Canis lupus familiaris: one gene and its partners. The protein of the gene in region 1 binds, or shares a complex with, the protein of each later gene. Links are inferred from orthologs where the notes say so. Each region holds a gene or a part of one and is shown in the gene's direction. Other genes may lie near its edges.

Region 1 (6,107 bases):
TTGAGAATCACCAAATACTTTATCAGTCCCAACTCCAGATTCCCTGGAGTACGACTTATTTGTGCTGTTTTTTTCCAAGCATTCTCCTCTGGATCAGTTAACACTGCCAGCAGGAAGAGGTGGTGGTAGGTGGCAGTACCTAGTGGGGGATGCAGGCAGTAAGGACACAGTGTGCAGTGAACTGTAGCCATGTGAGTGGAGACAGACTAGACATTCCCCAAAGAAGACAATGGGCAGATGTCTAACAGGTGTTCTGTACCTCTCTGAAATCTAAATTTTAGGCGAGAAAGCAAATCATTTCTCTAAGAGAGTTAGGAATGGTCAATAGCCTTCAATCTCCCAGTGGAATGGCTTTAGACAAACCTTTCCCTCTGATTATTATGAACAGGAGAGGTTGTAGGATAGAAGGAGGGAGTGACCTCCCTTCGGCTTACCCCAGTTTTACCTGGTTTGCCTCCCCTCTTCCTTCCTCCTCGTATTTTTATTTCCCTTTTGATGTAAAAACTCAAAGGATACCACCTGCATCAGTTAGGATATATGTTTTAGCTGCAAGTAACAGGAAATCCAACCTCCACCAGCTTTCTCCCAAATGGACCAAAGTGTAGTCCCAGGAATGGCAGCCTCAGAACCAATAGGAACTTGTTAGAAATGCAAATTCTCAAGTCCAACCCCAGACCAGAAGAGTCAGAAACTGGGGGGAGGGACCAGCGATGTAGGCACTCGAAAGTTCTGAACCACGGGTTTTAACTATAATCAAATGTGCTATCTCCTGGAGAAGACGCCCCGAAGACGGCTGGGCTCGAGTGCAGGGAGAGAAGCTGGCTCACCCGCATGAAGGGCGAGGAGCAAACCTTTCCTTGCCTCCACTCTGCCGTCCTCACTATGTCGCCTTACCTGGGCCTCGCTCCTCCACAGTCATAGCCATCGTATAAAGAAATGGCAATGAGCAGAGGACAGGAGGGGCCCATGCCTTTCCTGCTCTGGTGTGGAGGGGTGAGAGAGACTTACCCCCCCCCCCCACCCCGCAGACGACCCCTCAGATTGCTCTGGCCAGAAACTGAGCAACTTGTCCATACCTCACCACGACACCTCTGCATCTGAGCAGGCCAAAGTCGGCCATGAGGGCCAGAATATGGGCAGCTTCCCCCCCCACCCCCCCACCCCCTGTGCCCTCGGCCCCCATGAGGGGGCGGACCACCAACAAAGCCAAGGCTCCAGTAGAAGCTAAAATTTCAGGGGCGCCTGGGTGGTTCAGCGGTTGAGCATCGCCGTTGGCTCAGGTCATGATCCCTGGATCCAGGATCGAGTCCCCACGGGGAGCCTGCTTCTCCCTCTGCCTGTGTCTCTCATGAATAAATAAATAAAATCTTAAGAAAAAAAAAAGTAGCTAAAATTCTAGAGAAGTCAAGGGGAAGGCAAGAAGGCACTGTGGCTTGGTTGAAGCTGTGAGGAGGGTCTGGACACAAGAGGTCACCTGTGTTGGGACAAGTCACTCACCTCCAAGATGCGGTCCCCTGTGCGGAGCAGTGAGGCAGGGGCTTCTTGCTGGAGACAGGAGTGAGCATGCTCTGTTCCTCTCTAGAACCTCCTGGCAAGCGTGCGAGGACAGCTCAGGGAGGACTAGGAGGGAACTCAAAAGATGTGACTCAGGCCCTGGGGAAGACAGTAAAGATCCAAGGTGTGACTTGCTTATCCACTGAAACAGAGCTTCCTAAATGGTTCTTGTTTATTTACCATTTTCTTTTACCTTCTCTTCCTGTCTGCCATGAGGCTTCATTTTTCATGGAAAAAAAAACCCATATCTTATTCCTGAACCTCACAATCTCTCTTCTAGAGACATGAGCTGTCTTTCTCCCAGACAATCCCCAGCTGTCTCAACCCCTGGAATCCAATTTCTTTTATCTGCATTTAGGGTTCTTGAGGATTTAAAAGTTCCCGTTAGCAAAAAGCCTTTCGTTTACTAAACATGCCCCTACCATCCAAACACACGCAAGCAGCAATTTCTAGAAGTGAGGATGTGGCTAAGTGGGAAGAAGATGGGATTGTAAATGCAGAAGGACCTGGAATTATTAGCTGAGTGACCTTGGGCAAGCGACCAGACCTCCCCAAGCCTCAGTCTCCTAGTTTACAGAGTAAAATTATTAGCACTTACCTGAGACTACTGAGAGGAGTGAATGAGATCATGTCAGTAAAGCCTCTGGAACGATGCCAAGCATAGACTCAGTACAAATGCCCTTATTTTTAAGGAAGAATTTATAATAATGAAGGATATGTCCTTATCCCTCGCCTAGGATTTCTATGAATGGGAAAGCACGGAGCATCCCAAGCAGGCTTGAATTCTCTTGAGACAGGCTTATGAATTAGGCATGCAGCTTTACTGTGGCTTAAAAGATGCTCATTTCCATTTCCTCTGCAGGTGCTGATCGCCAGTGGCTGGATACTCTGAGGATGCGGCAGATTGCTTCCAATACTTCTCTACAGTGTTCCCAGAGCAACCCCATTCTGGGGTCACAATTCTTCCCATATTTCAATGATCAGGATTCCTACGCTGCTGCTGTCAGGCGGACCCAGGTGCCCATTAAGTATCAACAGATTACACCCATCAACCAATCCAGAAGCTCCTCTCCTACTCAGTACGGACTAACCAAAAACTTCTCTTCTCTACATCTCAACTCCAGGGACAGTAGCTTTTCCAGTCTTCCAACTGACAGCTCTTTAGAGAGAGGTCGATACTCAGGTAGGAGCAAGAACAAATATGATCGTGGCAGCGTATCACTCAATTCTTCTCCTAGGGGAAGGTATAGCGGGAAGAGTCAGCATTCCACTCCTTCACGAGAAAGATATTCTGGAAAATTCTACAGGGTTTCTCAGTCAGCACTCAACACGCAGCAGTCACCTGACCTCAAGAGAAGCCCAAATGACTGCCACCAACCCAGGACCATACCAGGGATGCCTTTACACACGGAGACCGACTCAAGAGCCAATGAAGAGGAGAGCAAAGTCAGCGAAGGAGGATGGACAAAAGTGGAATACCGTAAGAAACCTCACAGGCCCTCTCCTGCCAAGACTAACAGGGAAAGAGCCAGAGGAAACTACCGTGGAAGGAGAAACTTTTGATGACTTGAACTAGAGGAGTTTTCCTAAACAGGCTGCTCTTTTCTTTCTTTCTTTCTTTCTTTCTTTCTTTCTTTCTTTCTTTCTTTCTTTCTTTCTTTCTTTCTTTCTTTCTTTCTTTCTCTTTCTTTCTTTCTTTCTTTCTTTCTTTCTTTCTTTCTTTCTTTCTTTCTTTCTTCTTTCTTCATTGCCTTCTTCTTCTTTCTTCTTCTTTCTTCTTCTTCTTCTTCTTCTTCTTCTTCTTCTTCTTCTTCTTCTTCTTCTTCTTCTTCTTTCTTCTTCTTCTTTTTAAGATGTAATGGATTTTGATAATATGATACCTTCAGACAGAATTAACAAAAAGACAACTTTTCCATTTTTGGATTTAGGAAATGCTTTCTAATGGAGACTACCATTTTTGGCCAAACCAGGGCCAAAATTACGGATGTGGTTCCCCAAAGATGATAACTAGACTTTAAACATAACTATACATATCCCCCCACCCCTGAATTGACATTTTGAGAGGAGGGGCTACGCCACTTTATTTCCCTAACACTGCCATTCTGGTTAACAGGGTCTGAACTAGGGTGATGTTAAGTGGGGCCCTTGTCTTGAGTGCAAAATTTAAGGGAACACCAGAAAGCTCAGTAATCAAGAGACATAATATCCTAATGCAATATTTAAATAAATGAAAATTGATGCAAAAAAATTCTAATAAACAAAAAATCAAAATTTTACATAAATATAGGATTGGTATTACTGATTTTTCCCCTTGTCTAAGGCTCCAATATGGCTTGGCAAAGCACTATTACTGATCCTATTTAAAATTTTGATATTTTGTTCATCGTGAATTTGTGCATTAATTTTAAAAATGTTGCATTAAAATATAATTTATCTTGATTACTGAGGTGTTGGGGGTTTCTTGATGTTTTTCTTGAGGCCTCCTGAAATTCTGTGCCCGAGGCAAGTGCCTCTCCTTACCCAAGTCTAGTCCTGACACTGTTGGTTAGTATTTATTTTAGAAATGCATTTGGATTTTTATCATGGTCAGAGCTGAAGTGATTTGGCTTATCATTTTTAGGCAATAAAAAAAGTTATTGAACTTAATGTTGATTATGACGCATATCTCTTTCATTAAGGCTCATCAGAAACCAAAGATCTAAAATTGCCTAGGAGATGTGTGGTTACTGCTTTCCCAAAGCTCTCCAGGGACTGCTTTTGAATATTCTCTTCTACATTTTACCAAAGGAGGAGCAAAGAGGGAAAAACAACAGTCCATAAAGACCTCTTGGAATGTCAGAAATCTAAAATCTGAAAGAAAGCAGACACAGGGCAGGGTGATAACGTCACAAGCCATAAGCCAAAGAAATGTGAAAATCACCAACATCCTCTTTAGCACAAGACAGTAAATACCATCCTTGCAGCAAGAAAGCTCTAAGCAGCTGGGGGCAAAGGGCTGGTGCAGGTGGGAGGAAACTGCCTGCAGTAGGGGACAGGAACTGTGAGATCCAACTTGATGAAATGCTTCATATTTTACAAATCAAAAAGTCCAGAGGTAACAGCCTTATATGTCAAATAAATAAACTTGACTTTCAATATATTCTGAGATTCTGTTCAATATTCACTAACCCTGAATAGCAAGTGTCCTTTGCCCTGCCCAGGCTTCTCAATGCTCTGTAGAAATTCAAGTGCCACACTGGTAATTCCATGGGGTTGAGTTCTCTTTGATAGAAACCGGTCATCAAGTTGGAGTGTATACTCCCAGAGCAGCTGCCCTGCTCAAATACAGTGCCTGGGGCCTGGTGGGGGAAACTATTTGGGAAGCATTAAAGCCAAGGTTATAGGAAATGACCTTTGTTTTATGAGGGAAGTTGTAACCTAAACGGTGATTCTTGATTCGACAACTTGGTTTTTTAAGTCGTATCGTTTGCCATCTGCATTTATAAGCAAGAGCAATGGGGAGTGGTAAAATCAGAGGGTGAAGTACTCTTTTCCATCCGCATAACCAATGTCTCTAGGGTGGTAAGCTCCACAGTGATCCTTTCTCACAAAGCTTATGGCAACTACAGTCTGTTTTCAATTATTATTTTCCTCTTGTCCTTTGAGTTCAAATTTAAAGAAAAATAGACTAATAGAAAGTATGCTATCTTAATAGCATGGTGCTTCCAAATAAGCAATAAAATATTTTCTTTGATTAGAACTTTTGGTTAAGTGCCCGAACACAGAACAGAGGCTTAGCTAAGTCACTCTGAAAGGAACAGAGTATGGCTTTAATTATTAAACAAAAAAGGCATTCTGGAGAATGACTTAAGACTCATTTAAAAAGTGTTACGCAAATGATTGCTCATTACAGGCTGTTTTCTTCACTTCTAGCTTTCTTGGGCTTTGGGTTAGAGAATCCAGGCTGGTAGTGAAATCACTTCATGAGCTCAGTCCTAGTTAGCGACCACACAGTGGTTATTCCAACAGCCCACAAATCTGACCACTTTGGAAGGTCTCTTGGAAAAATACTTGTCAGCATCAATGCTCCCAGTCAAAACCAAAATCAGGAATCTGTTTCTCGGTTGTAAAGCAAAAATAAGAGTTGGATGTTCTTTTTTTTTTTTCCCTCTAATAAACATCATTAGGAGTTGCTGGCCAGGTTGAAAGATGAATATAAGAATACAACTAGGATTAATAGGATTTTTTTTCCCCATCCAACTAAGTTGCCAACTATATAATTTCCAAGAGACTAAAGTTAAAAAAAAAAAAAAAAACAACGGATATTTGAAAAGAAAAAAATTACAGTAGAAAAAATTAAAGTCTCTCTTAAGTTGGGCATCTCTAGATGTGGGGGTTTAGTGGTCCTTAAGTAGGCTTCTGATAGAATCTGAAACCACCAAATCAATGTTGGTTGCTACCACAGAGGTAGTCATTATTCCAAGCATAGCCCAAAGTAAGATATTTTGCTCCTTACAAAGTCACTGAATTAGCAATTCTATAGAAGTAACCTGAGTCTTTTTTTTTTAAGTAGG
Region 2 (6,115 bases), on another chromosome or scaffold:
GCAGGCTCCATGCAGGGAGCCGGACGTGGGACTCGATCCCGCGTCTCCAGGACCACGCCCTGGGCTGAAGGCGGCTCTAAACCACTGAGCCACCCTGGCTGCCCAACTGTGTCTATTTTTAAATTGCCTTTTGTCAATCAGAAGTGGCTGGCACAGAGTAGGCATTCGGTACATGTTTGTTGAAAGAGTGACTGAATGTACTGTTTAGTTCATTTTTACCCTTTCAGTCACTCCCACTTCACTATCCCAATTTGGTGGATAATCATGAATTCCTTAGGTTCATTCCTACTGCCGAGTTTCCTCCCTTGTATCCATCCACTCATCACCTTGATTGCCCACTCCCACCCGCCATTTCTTTCCAATCACATTTTTGCTTCTCGCCTCTTCCTTCAACCTTCATTACTTCTTGGAGGGCTCCCTAAACTGCAGGTAGCCTTGGAACATTTTCAAGCAGCATGTCTTCATAGGCGAGAGAATCCAGACTAAGCCACATCGGATCCTCCAAGAAAAGCTTTCCAGGAATGACCCATGACTCTGGTTTTTATTTTTGTTTTTCCTTGAGGAGAACTGAGGATCCTGCACTCTCTCCTAAGTTGAGATCATGGTCATTATTCATAATTTGTTCAATAAATATTTATGGGGTACCTATTATATTCTAGGCACTGTGCTAGGTGCTGGGACAAGATATGCAAAATCTGAGCATTCTAAAGGATGCACGACACGAAAGAGAATAATCACGGGAAGGGTTGAGAGGTGTCCTGGCTTGGACCCAGTTACTTCTAAGAGACATTGTAACAAACTTTAACAAAGGAATAAGTTGGTTACAGTGGCTGTAGGCATGGTTATATAGTATCTTGCTCACTCACACTTACTATCTTGTTCAGCTTTACAGGTAACCCTATTAGGCGCGGATGTAAGGCAGGAATTACTTTTGCAGAAGCTGGAACTAGAGTCTAAGAGAGGTCAATAGACTTGCCTAATAGGACACCCTCTGCCTTGCTCTCCTTAACCTGAGGCAAGAATCAAGCTTCAGAGCAGGATTCAGTTTCAAACCCTCAGAAGTACTCTTTTCAAAAATCCTTCTCCAAGGGGGATGCGGGAGACTTTCCTGAATCAGAACTGCCTGGAGCATATTATAAAAATGCGCGTTCTTGGCGCCTATCACCGACCTATCCACTTAGACTCCCTGTGGGTCCTGGGACTTGGCTTTTTTTTTTTTTTTTTTTTTTTAACACTCCAAGTGTTCTTTTGCACATAAACGTTTAAAGACCGTTAGGAGAGTTTGGGTGGAAAACCTCAGACTTAACGTAGAGCTAATACTTGCTTTCGGGATAGGGTCCGTCACAGTTCCGAAGATTAAGCCGTATGTCCCCGAACATGGAATAACGGCTTTCTGGCTGGAACCTTCCTTTTCCAAATGTAAGTATTTCTTGGAAGTTGGAGGTTCTGCTGAGCAGATGCTCGGCTGCTGGTGACTACCGGCAGTTCAAAGATCTTTTGGCTCTTTTCCCGACACCCTATTAGTCGCCGTCGCCTCCCGCCACGGAGCCGGGCGTTTGCCCCGCCGACCACGGTGGGGCGCACGCGGCATACGTTGCCTGCCTGTCCCTCCCTTTCCCGGGTCCGCCTTCGCGCCCTTAAGAGCAGTCCCCGAGAGTTCCTGCCTCTGGTCTCCAGCTGTTGCCCTTTTCTCGCGAGAAGTGCTCCTCCCATCCTCTCCGGTAGTCCACCCCCTCCCGTGGGCAGGTTCCATATTGGGTAAAATCTCGGCTCGCGGAGAGTCCCGGGAGCTGGTCTCGCGAGAGTACGGCTAGCGACTCCTGTTCGCTGGCTCTGGAACGGCGATCACTGGAACTTGAGCGGGCGCTGCAGCTGGAGCCGCAGTTCCGCGGCGCAGCCCGGGGTCGGCCTGGTCGGGGAGAGGGTGCAGGGAGAGCGTGGTGGGCGCAGCCCTGAGCCCCGCAGCCTGCCCCTGCCCTTCACCGGGCTCGCCCGGCAGCTGCGGCTGACAGGGGCCGCGCGCGCGGGAGTCGGCGGGGTCGCGTCTGCCGCACCTGCGCCGACTGCCAGCTCCGGGTCCCCGCCCGGCCCGGCGGGCAACGAGGGCCCGGGAGCGGGAGCGGGAGCGGGTGCGGGTGCGGGCGCAGGCGGGGCCCCTCAGGGCCACCTCCTAGCCCCGCGGCCGCCGCTGGAAGATGTCTCAGGAGAGGCCCACGTTCTACCGGCAGGAGCTGAATAAGACAATCTGGGAGGTGCCCGAGCGTTACCAGAACCTGTCCCCGGTGGGCTCCGGCGCCTACGGCTCCGTGTGGTGAGTGTCACCGGGCTTGGGTCTGCGGCGGGCTTGGTGGCCTCAGCACCCCAGAACCAGGCCTGCCCACACAGCTCAGCGATGCACCAAGCGGTAGGAATTTTCTCTGGGGGAGGGCATCGTTGCCCATTCGACCCCTGTGCTGCACGCCCGGGACCCCCTTGCACCCCTCACTCTGCACCCCCAGGGAGGCGGTCGGCTGTGTGCAGGATGCAGGTCCACGGTGGGCGGTGGTGCTGGAGCTCGGCCCTGCCTCGCACCCTGCGCAATCCCTTCTGGGGGGGTGGCTGCTCGGGGGAGGGGGGCTGGCACAGAGGCCGGGGCGTCTCTCCGGGGGTGGGGGGTGTCTCCCTGCCAGCCTCGAGCCGAAGGAGCCTCTCCGGAGGTGCAGCCACTCTGGGCGCGCGGGAGCCTGCCCTCCAAGCAGACAAGCCCGGGGGGGCTGCAGGGAGAAGCAGAAGGGCCAAGCTCTACGGGAGACTGCGAGCGTCGGAACAAAACTGACGACCAAGGGCTTTCTGCCCTGGCTTTTTTTTTTTTTTTTTTTTGCAGACCTCTTTCGAAATCTCATTTCGAGAGGCATTCTTTTCGAATTCGCACTTGCATTAGCAGCGACCCAAAGAACCGAAAATACCGACTTTATCTCGGCCAGCCTAGTGCCAGCTTGAGTTGTGTGTTTCCGATTCTGTTGAAAGCGTATTTCCTTTTCGCTGAGTGGGGGTGGGTGGTAGTGCCTGCAAGAACACTGCAGCTTGAGAAACTGGCGGCTTCACTGATTAGTCACATACCACTGCTCATTTAAGTATTGTTTGGCAAAAACAGTTTTTTCACTTGGAGCAAGTGAGATTCAGATCCGTTGGACGCGCTCAAGATCAAAGAATCATGAGCAATCTGGGGAGGTATTGTAAGTATTTCTTAATTGCAGTACATCTTGTGAATATTGTGTTTTTAAACTTCTTTAGAGAGTTCGCAGGGAACTGATCTACATTTGTAGCCTGAGGTACACGATGGTTTTCATAAGGATAGGGAATATATAGCAAAGGAAGGGAGAGACACTTCTCAGCTTTAATTCACACTGTGTTTTAAATTAAATCGATCCAATAAAATTCTTGGATCTAAAATATTTCACTAGTTTAGGTATTACACACCATATTTTAGAGTTACTGTAACTTGAGAGCTGCTGATCTGAAACTAATTCCTGTATTCATGTGAATCATTTGAAAAGGGCTCCATAAGATTTTGGGAGGGTGGGGGTGGGGGTGAGGGAAACGAATTCCAGACTTTTGGATGTGTTAATCTTTATAATTCTTGTGTTTCTTAAAGTCACATCATGAATTTCCTGTTTGCTAGAATCTTCTGGGTAATTGAGATTGTGCAATTGTGTCAAGCAACAGATCATATTGCATTTTCTAGTTCAAGCTGCGTGAGTTCATCTTGCTGATGGTCCCGTGCTTGACATCTTTTCCTCATTTTTATAATATGGCAGTTTACGTTTTAAGGGAATTTGCAACATTTTACTGTATCCATCTATATGTGTGATTGATTTGCAAATTTTCAGAGATATATTTGGATCATGGCTCCTTTAATAGCTTATTATTTTACCACTCTTTTTCATTCTGTTATGTCATAATTGACATTAATTTTCGTAGTACCAAGTTTCTGTTTCCAATGATGTTTAAACTTTAATGAAATGATACAGCAGAATAGCTCAACTATGGGGAGTTTAGTGGACCTGAAAACAACTGCTTGCAAGGTCTTCCTACTGTTGGTATGAATAGCTCTGTCCTGGAACTGCAGATTCAGATTTAGAGTGAAGTATCATAAAAATGACCTTTACATTTCCTTAGTACTATACTTTTTTGGCTTACAGAAGCCAGAAATATCTGACACTTGGAAGTGATTTTGTTAAACATATTTTAAAAAATATGTATAGAATTATATACACATTGTATAAAATTCAAAAGGCGTAAAAGGATATTTAACGAAAGGTATCCTTTCCTTTCTTGTTCTCCAACTGTGCTATTCCTTTCCTCTGAGACAGCCCCTGTTAAGTTTCTTATGTGTCTTTACAAGGAGGCAGAGCCCATTCATTTGTTTTTAGTAGTATTTCTGTTGAGGGATTTAAAGTGTGACATATGGTATATTGGTGGAAGAGAATGCATCTTATGTGTGTCAGTTGACTATGGCAAATATAATTGATTTTGGATTGAAAATATCAGAATTTAGATATACATAAGTAAGTGGCATCTCATTCAGAATTATTTGAAGTTATTCTTTCAGTTCTTTCAGATTCTTAGCAGTGTTTTGGGTGTTGCAGCAAACTTTTTTTTTTTTTTTTTTTTTAATTTCTCTTACAGCATTCTGGAGCCTGTGTTATTTTTCACTGCCATCATCCTTTAAGAACAGATTTGATTTTAGGGAATAAGAAAATCAAGCTGAATTCAAATAATTTAGAGAATTTGTACTCAAGTCTGGCGAGAAAGATTAGGCATTCAGGTTGGTCTTGTTTTAGGTCAAATAGGAGTTATAACTATAAAGTAATGACAGAATTTCTTGTGTGACTTGTAGAACTGGATCTGAAGTCTGTTCCGAAAAAGAATCTCTGAAAGCATTTTAAGGAATGCAACCTCACGCAAATATCTGTCAGTTTCCTAATTTGATTGCTCCTAAGTGTGATATACTTTGATGTATATTAAAAGTTTTTTATGTTAAGCCTATTTTCTCATTTTAATTTTCACTAAGTCTACAGTAAAAAGGCAAGCAGCAGCCTGTATGCTATGAATCCAAGATCAAGGAATCAGACTAGAAATTGAAAATTGATAAGGTTTTATTTTTTTAATTTTTCAATTTTTTAAAAAATTGATAAGGTTTTATAATATACCTTTCCTTTTTAAAAGGTAAAGGGAACTAAATAAGTCTTGCAGTTTTAAGGAACTTTGTTGCATTGTCTGTGAGGGGAAATGAAGCAAAATTGTTTAAGAATACTTTGTTGCAAAGCATTGATTTTCTGGTTTTGGGACAGAAGGAGGGACTCTTTGTGGTGAGTTTAAGGAAATATAAACAGGAACTTAAATGCCTTTCCTCTGGGTATGGTTTTTCCAGACCCTTGCTGTTGATTAGAGGAGGTGGGGCCCTGGTAGCCATAAAATAGGTAGCCATAAAATAAAAAATACTCTTAAGTCATAGTCCTTTGTTGATTCAACAACACTGAATACCAGCTACGGACTAGATAATGGGCTAGGTTTCATGAGATAGAGTGCTGAGCAAGACAGTGAGATAATCCATTCCCTCGTCAAGCTAAGTCTAATGTGAATAAAAAAACTACATTTTATGGATTGCTTACTGTTCTAGGCATTTTACTGTGTAGTTTATATTTATCACGAGTGTATTTAGCCTATGCAAGATTTTTTAGTGAGAGGATGGCAAAACTTACTAAGAAATCAAATCCAGCTTCCTAAATGCTCTGTGGAATAAGACTGTATATACATGAATATAATAAACAAAGCTAAGGTTTAGTGTTAATAGCCATTCACTGTTTTAAATCTTTTATTCTTTTCTTTTAGGATGAGCCAGGGCACAGATAAATGAAAATACATCATTATTGACTATGCAAAGATGACTTTCTTGACTCCTAATCAGTAAGAGGGGCCTGCCCTTTACTTTTCTGGTGACGATAGTAGGCCCTTACTGAACTTTCTTCCCATTTGCTTTTCTTTGTAACCGAAAGCAAGATGGTTCACTGCATGTTGCCAGTACCAACAACAAATAGATATTTAAAGATAATTGCAAATATTTATGTTATTG
Region 3 (6,160 bases), on another chromosome or scaffold:
CTCTTCCTTCTCCTCCTTCTTTTTCTTTCTGTTAAAATCCTCTAAATAAAAAAGGGAAAGTAAACATCCAGCCCTCATCCCTAAGTAACCAAAGTACCCTCAGCCCGCCACATTTTGGCTGGTCCCTGCAGGGCACCCAAGTTCAGGCTCAGTCTCCATGGAGCGCCCCGCCCTGAGCCCCAGGGACCAAGGTTTGGCTCACTCACCCGGTTTCTAAGGGAGTCCGAGGTCAGCCAAGAGCCAAGCTGCACGCTCTGGAGACTCCGGGGACCCTGGAGAAGCTCCATGGAGGCCTCCACTCTCCTCCTCCACTTGGGCACGAGCCTGCATTTATGGACCCCCACCTGTATGCCACAGCTCCGAAGAAAAGGTCTGCCTCGTATCACAGGGAAAACTGAGTCTCAGCGGGCCACAGGATCCTTAGGGCCCTCAGCCAGAGCCAGTGACAGAGCCGGGATTCAAGCTATTTTCATAGCAAGGGCAATCCCATTAAAAGCCACAGCAGCTAACACTTATTGGGTCCTTACTAGTTTCTCAACCCTGGGCATGCACGATCTCACTTAATTTTATCGACACCAGAGGGGTGGGTTGGTAAATCCAGTCTCACAGCTGAGGCGCTCACGATGTGGGGGCTCCCTCAAGGCACGGGATGCTGGGATTTGAACCCAGATCTGCCCAGAGCCCGTCTGCAGGCAACGGGGGATCCTTCCCAGGAGACTCGAGTTTGCAAAGGAGGGGGCGGGGCGGGGGAGGCGAATCGCTTTTGTTTTCAGAGGGGTCCCGGGAGGCCCGGAGGCCTCTGCCACGCCCCGCTTTAACGTGGCTGAGTCTTTCCTTCGGGTTCCCGCGCGCTCAGCTGGGGCACCCCGGGGCCGAGCGAGGTGCGGCCCCAGGCACGCGCGGGAGCAGCCGGCAAGGGGGTCGCGGCCGCCGACCCGCAGAGCCCCGCAGGCGGGACCCGCAGCCCCGGGGGCCGCCGGGAGCCGCGCCCCCGCCGCCCCGCCCCCTCCCCGGGCGCCGACCTCGGCGGTCACGTGACCCGGCCCGGCGGCCGCTGGGGCCGGAGGGCGCGGCGCGCGGACGCGGCGGCCTGGCCAGGCGGGGCCGGAGCGGACGGAGCAGGCCGGAGCGGGCCGCGCGCCGGCGGGGGCTGCGCCGCGCCCGCCCCTTCCCCGCCCCGCGCGGGGCGCACGCGCGCTCCTCCCGCCGCCCCTCCCTCCGCGCGGGGACCCCTGGCGGGCGGCGCGAGGACATGGCCAGCGACGCCGTGCAGGTAGGCGCACCTGCGTCCGCAGCCGCCCGGCGGCCGGCCAGCGCCGGGGACCCCCGCCCGCGCGTTGCCGGGTCCCCCGCGGCCCGGGTCGGCCCGGGCGGGGGCCTCCCGCGTGCCCGGCGCCCCCTCCCCGGGCCAACACGGTGGAGCGGGCGCGGTCCCCTTTTCGGCAGGTGGAGGTATGCATCGAGGGGGAGCGGGGAGGTCCGGAAGGCCCCGCTGCACCCCAAGCTCCGCCCCTGCCCGAGGATTAGAGGGGGCGCGGCGGAGGCTCCACTCCAGTGTCTGTGGCTGGCTGTGCGTCCCGGTGCCCGCCGCCCCCGCCGCTCGACTCGGCACTCCCTCTCCCCCACCCCAGCGTTCGGTTCCCGGCAGGTGCCGCTCCACCTGGGGCAGGTGCCTGGCGCAGTGGCCCGGAGGGGAGGAGGCCGTTCGGTCCGTGCCCCTCCCCCGCACAACAAAGCTCTGGCGGCCCCCCGCCTCCAGACTGAGCTTTATGATGATCCGGACGCCACCCAGATTGGCACCTGTTGGCGGAAGTGTCCTAGAGTCACCTCATTAGGTTGAGGAATGGGGGACCCACAGTGGCCGCGCTCAGGGCTACCAGGTGGAACCTTATCCCAGGCTGGGGATTCTCTTGGACCTGGAACACTACCTGGGCATGGGTGGCAGGGCTGGGTCACGCAGACACACACAGCCTGGCACCAACCTGCCACCAGCCAGGTTCTCCGTGTACCACCTTGTGAATATCACAGCCTTGGACTCACCTTCCACATCTGTGACAAGCCAGGCCAGAATGACTTCTGACCTTCGGTTCAGAATCTGAGGCACATCCTGTGCCTCTGGTGCCCTCAATAGTGCCTCAAAATCCCTCTGTTGTCCTGTGGTTGCTGTGTAACTGGGTTTTCGTCTCCTTCTGCACCTGCCCCCATCCCCTCTGTGTCTCCCCCATGACTCCCTGTCCCCCACCCCAGTCCTGCTGATGGCCTGTCAGCCTTGCCGTGGAGCTGGGCGTATCTGGTGTTGCCGATCACATAAGGTCAGACCTTGGGGCTGGGGTGGGCCGGGGTTTCTGACTCTACCCCCAGCCCTGGGAGGGCTCTGTAGGAATCCCCTGGCGCATGCATGCACTTGGCATGTGCGAAACATGACCCGGGTGGAGGCCGTGATTCCTGGAATGAGGCTGGACCTGTGCTGTTGTCCCCCCTCCCATGTCTTCCCCACTCTGTTCCCCCCTCCTGGTCATCCCTTGTGCCTGCTTGGGCCTGCCACCCTGTCCCTCTGTCTGTCCCGACGTATGCCTGTCTGTTTTGTGTCCGGCAAACGGATGTCCTGTCCAGATTCCGGAAACGCCCAAAGCATTGAAATCTCCGGACATGAGGGTCTAGGGCCCTGGCTGCTCTGGGAAGGGGGGGATTCTGGGAGGTGGACCCTCTGGACCTGGGTCTCGTGTGGGAGGTGGGAGGTGGGGGAGCAGGGATTCTCCAAGGCTGGGCCAGGCTCCTGATTCGTGGGTTTGCCTTGCTGGCCCAGGGATCACCTCTGCCCTCTGGGTAGGAGTGAGTCACCCAAGGGAAGAGAACCCAGGAGGCTGGGCCTGTCTCCTTCCCTCCCTGCTCTGCGTGTTCTCAGGCCTCAGCTTCTCTTCCTGTCTGCCTGGACTGTCCCTATTTGAGCTGGCCTGGACCCTGGCTGTACCCTGCTCTGCCTGCTAGGGATGGGATGGGGCTGGGTGGTAGGCGGGCACTGGTCACCAGCTGGTAGTATTAGGTGAACTTGGGTTTAAATTCCAGCTCTGTCACTTTCTCACTGTGTGTCCTGGACCCAGTGCCTTTGCCTCTCTGAGCCATGGTCCTGCCACCAAAAAAATGGGTCTACAAGGGTGTTCATAGTCCAAAGGGAGAGATGTAGATGGGCCTGTGCTCTGCAGGTGGAGCTGCTGAGAAATCCTTACTGGTGGTCATGGTCAGCAGCCCAGGGTGTGAATCTGTGTCCTTTATTGCAGGGTTTCTTGACATCAGTGCTATTGATGTTTGGGGCCAAATCATTCTTTGAGGTGGGGGCTGTCCGGTGCACCTTAGGATGTTGATCAGGTTCCCAAGTCTCAACCCAAAAGATGCCAGGAGTACATCCTCCCCACCCCTAGTTGTGACAACCAAAAACGTTTCTGGATGTTGTTCAGTGGCCCTGGAGGTGTGTGTGGGGATAACCTCCCCCACCCCGAACTGCTACTGTCACCTCTCTCAGCCTGTTTCCTCGCCTGGAGAGTAGGGAAGAATAGTGGCAGTGGCTCAGGATTCATGTGATGGGTTGGTAGGATGGTGAGAGTGACACTCTCAGCTGAACCCTTGCTGGGGACAGCTGCCCTCTGGTTTGGCTGGGAGCCAACAAGGACTTTCCTCATCTGTGCAATGGGTCCCCCAGTGGGGACTGTCATTCAGTGCCAGGCCTGACACTTGGACAGGGTGAGCAGATTCTGGGCACTCCTGTTTTAAATCCCAGCCCTTGGGCAGCTCCAGTGGCGCAGCGGTTTGGCGCTGCCTGCAGCCCGGGGCGTGATCCTGGAGACCCGGAATTGAGTCCCACGTCGGGCTCCCTGCATGGAGCCTGCTTCTCCCTCTGCCTGTGTCTCTGCCTCTCTCTCGGTCTCTCTCTCTGTGTTGCTCATGAATAAATAAATAAAATCTTTAAAAAAAAATAAAGTAAATCCCAGCCCTTCCTCCTGCTGGCTGTGGGGCCTCAGAGCAAGTTATGACATCACCACTCCAGGCCTTGGTATCCTTGTCTTGAAAATGGGGTGATGACAGTACCCACCTCATGAACTCGCATTAGGTGACCTCAGCAGAACTCCTAAAAACTACTCTTCTTATTATTAATAGTCATACTTGGCTTTTAGTGGGCCACTGGTTTGTGGGTACTCTTAACCCAGCCCTCCAGCACTGTCTCCTCATGATGTAGGGCTCAGAGAGGTGGCCCTGGCCTGGCTGGGCCCTACCTGTGGTTACAGCAGTGGGTGACCAGACTGAGAGGAAGCCGGAAGTAGGGACTGCCTGCGTCAGCAGGAAGGGGGCTGGCCATAGAAGCCTCTCTGGCGGGCTTGTGTGTATCTGTGTGCATGGGGTAGGCACAGGGTGGGCACACACGTGCCTGCCTGTGTTTTGTGCACACACCTATAGGTACACGAGAGGGTGTATACACCTAGGGTAGCCCCTGGAGCCTGCATATACTCAAAGGAGGTTGGTCTCCATGTCTACACTAGCGAGCATGTGAGGTGTGTGCACACCTTAGCAACCTCCTAGGATGTCGAGGGAGGGCTGTCCCTGGTTGCCTCCTGAGAAGTCAGGCTTAGTCCCGGAGAGGGCACAGGGAGGGAAGGTCCTCTAGGTGCCCCAAAGCCCCAGAGCTGGCCCCACGCAGGGGATGCTGGGAGCTAGCAGGAAAGAGGAAGTGGCGGTCAAGAGGCCCTGGGAGGGCTGAGGTTCAGGAAGAGGGCGGGGCCCTCAGCCCGGACCCAGGATGGCGGAGGCCAATCCCCCTTTGGACCAGGAGCTGGAGGTCGGGGCTGGGGTCGGGGTGGGGGGCCAGAGAGGACCCCGGTGACACAGACCGGAGGTCCTGCCCTCGGTACCTCTCGATTTTGGACCAAGGAGAGATGGGTTTAGGAGTTTTCTGTTTTGAAGATGAAAATACGTGGGGTTTTTTTGAGGCTCCCAGGTCGGGGAAATAGAGAAGGAAGGAGACAGGGCTCTGCTCTTTAGGGCCCGGTTGTAGAGGATGAGAGCAGGGGAGACAGAGCTTGCCAGGACCTCCTAGTTTGAGGGTACAACAGGAGAGAGGTGGGGCCCGTCCTCAGAACGTAGTTTGGGGTTATAGCAGAGGGAAGACGAGACCTGCCCTTGGCACCTCCCAGCGTGAGGGCATAGCAGAGAGGAAGGGGGCCTGCTCAAAGGATCTTGACCCCATTGTTTTGGGGAGGGGTTGGCAGCAGAGGCCTGTCCTGATACTTCCTTGTTTGAGGAGCAGCAGAGGGACAATGGAGCCTGCCCTTGGGGCCTAGTTTTAGGGACAGTAGAGGGGAGTTGGGGCCTACCCTTGGGACCTCCTACCCTAGGGGGACAGCAGAAGTGACAAGGGGTCTGCCCTCAGGACCTTCTTGGGGGGGGCAATGGGAGATAGGGCCTGAATTTAGGGACCTCTTCATTTGGGGGGGCACACTGGTGAGATAGTGGTGCCTGTCCTCCAGAATCCTACTGCATAAGAAATAGATGAAGGGAGACGGGACAGTACTTATGGGGTCCCCTCGCCTCAGGGGCCAGAGGAGGAGGAAGCCCATGCCCTTGGGACCCCACAGTTTAGGGCAGTCAGGAAGCAGAGACAGCACCACGTCTCACCTCCCGGCTTGGAGGGTCGGAGCATGTTTTGGAAGCCCCCGGCCGCGAGGAGGCCAGGCCAAGCTGGCTGAGCGCATTGGGCGCTGCGGTGTCCGGGCCCCACTGACCGCGCTCCGTCTCCCGCAGAGCGAGCCGCGCAGCTGGTCCCTGCTGGAGCAGCTGGGCCTGGCAGGTGCGGACCTGGCGGCTCCGGGGGTGCAGCAGCAGCTGGAGCTGGAGCGGGAGCGGCTGCGGCGCGAGATCCGCAAGGAACTGAAGCTGAAGGAGGGCGCCGAGAACCTGCGGCGGGCCACCACCGACCTGGGCCGCAGCCTCGGCCCCGTGGAGCTGCTGCTGCGCGGCTCCTCCCGCCGCCTGGACCTGCTGCACCAGCAGCTGCAGGAGCTGCACGCCCATGTGGTGCTGCCTGACCCTGCGGCTGCTGCCCGAGGTGAGTGGGGGGCTTCTCCAGGGTTGAGAGGCTGCGGGACTTCGGGGGTTCAACCGCCAGGGTTGA

The links. The genes of interacting proteins can lie anywhere in the genome.
Region 2: MAP3K20 (region 1) and MAPK14 share a complex: the UniProt entries of both Homo sapiens proteins name them as parts of the signaling complex. The link is inferred for Canis lupus familiaris from reciprocal best matches to the Homo sapiens genes MAP3K20 and MAPK14.
Region 3: MAP3K20 (region 1) and PKN1 share a complex: the UniProt entries of both Homo sapiens proteins name them as parts of the signaling complex. The link is inferred for Canis lupus familiaris from reciprocal best matches to the Homo sapiens genes MAP3K20 and PKN1.

Annotation. Positions count from the first base shown.
Region 1 is NC_049257.1:17,819,810-17,825,916, forward strand, and holds the end of MAP3K20 (mitogen-activated protein kinase kinase kinase 20), read left to right. Parts: intron 1-1,497; exon of another isoform or gene 1,498-1,950; intron 1,951-2,416; coding exon 2,417-3,034; coding exon of another isoform or gene 3,035-3,117; exon of another isoform or gene 3,118-3,250; intron 3,251-4,232; coding exon 4,233-4,315; 3' UTR 4,316-4,693; downstream 4,694-6,107. UniProt on the Homo sapiens protein: Stress-activated component of a protein kinase signal transduction cascade that promotes programmed cell death in response to various stress, such as ribosomal stress, osmotic shock and ionizing radiation.
Region 2 is NC_049233.1:5,325,560-5,331,674, forward strand, and holds the start of MAPK14 (mitogen-activated protein kinase 14), read left to right. Parts: upstream 1-2,195; coding exon 2,196-2,311; intron 2,312-6,115. Other genes in the region: SLC26A8 (testis anion transporter 1), read right to left, coding at 1,325-1,379. UniProt on the Homo sapiens protein: Serine/threonine kinase which acts as an essential component of the MAP kinase signal transduction pathway.
Region 3 is NC_049241.1:48,578,526-48,584,685, reverse strand, and holds the start of PKN1 (serine/threonine-protein kinase N1), read left to right. Parts: upstream 1-2,240; 5' UTR 2,241-2,255; coding exon 2,256-2,312; intron 2,313-4,693; exon of another isoform or gene 4,694-4,789; coding exon of another isoform or gene 4,790-4,828; intron 4,829-5,790; coding exon 5,791-6,094; intron 6,095-6,160. UniProt on the Homo sapiens protein: PKC-related serine/threonine-protein kinase involved in various processes such as regulation of the intermediate filaments of the actin cytoskeleton, cell migration, tumor cell invasion and transcription regulation.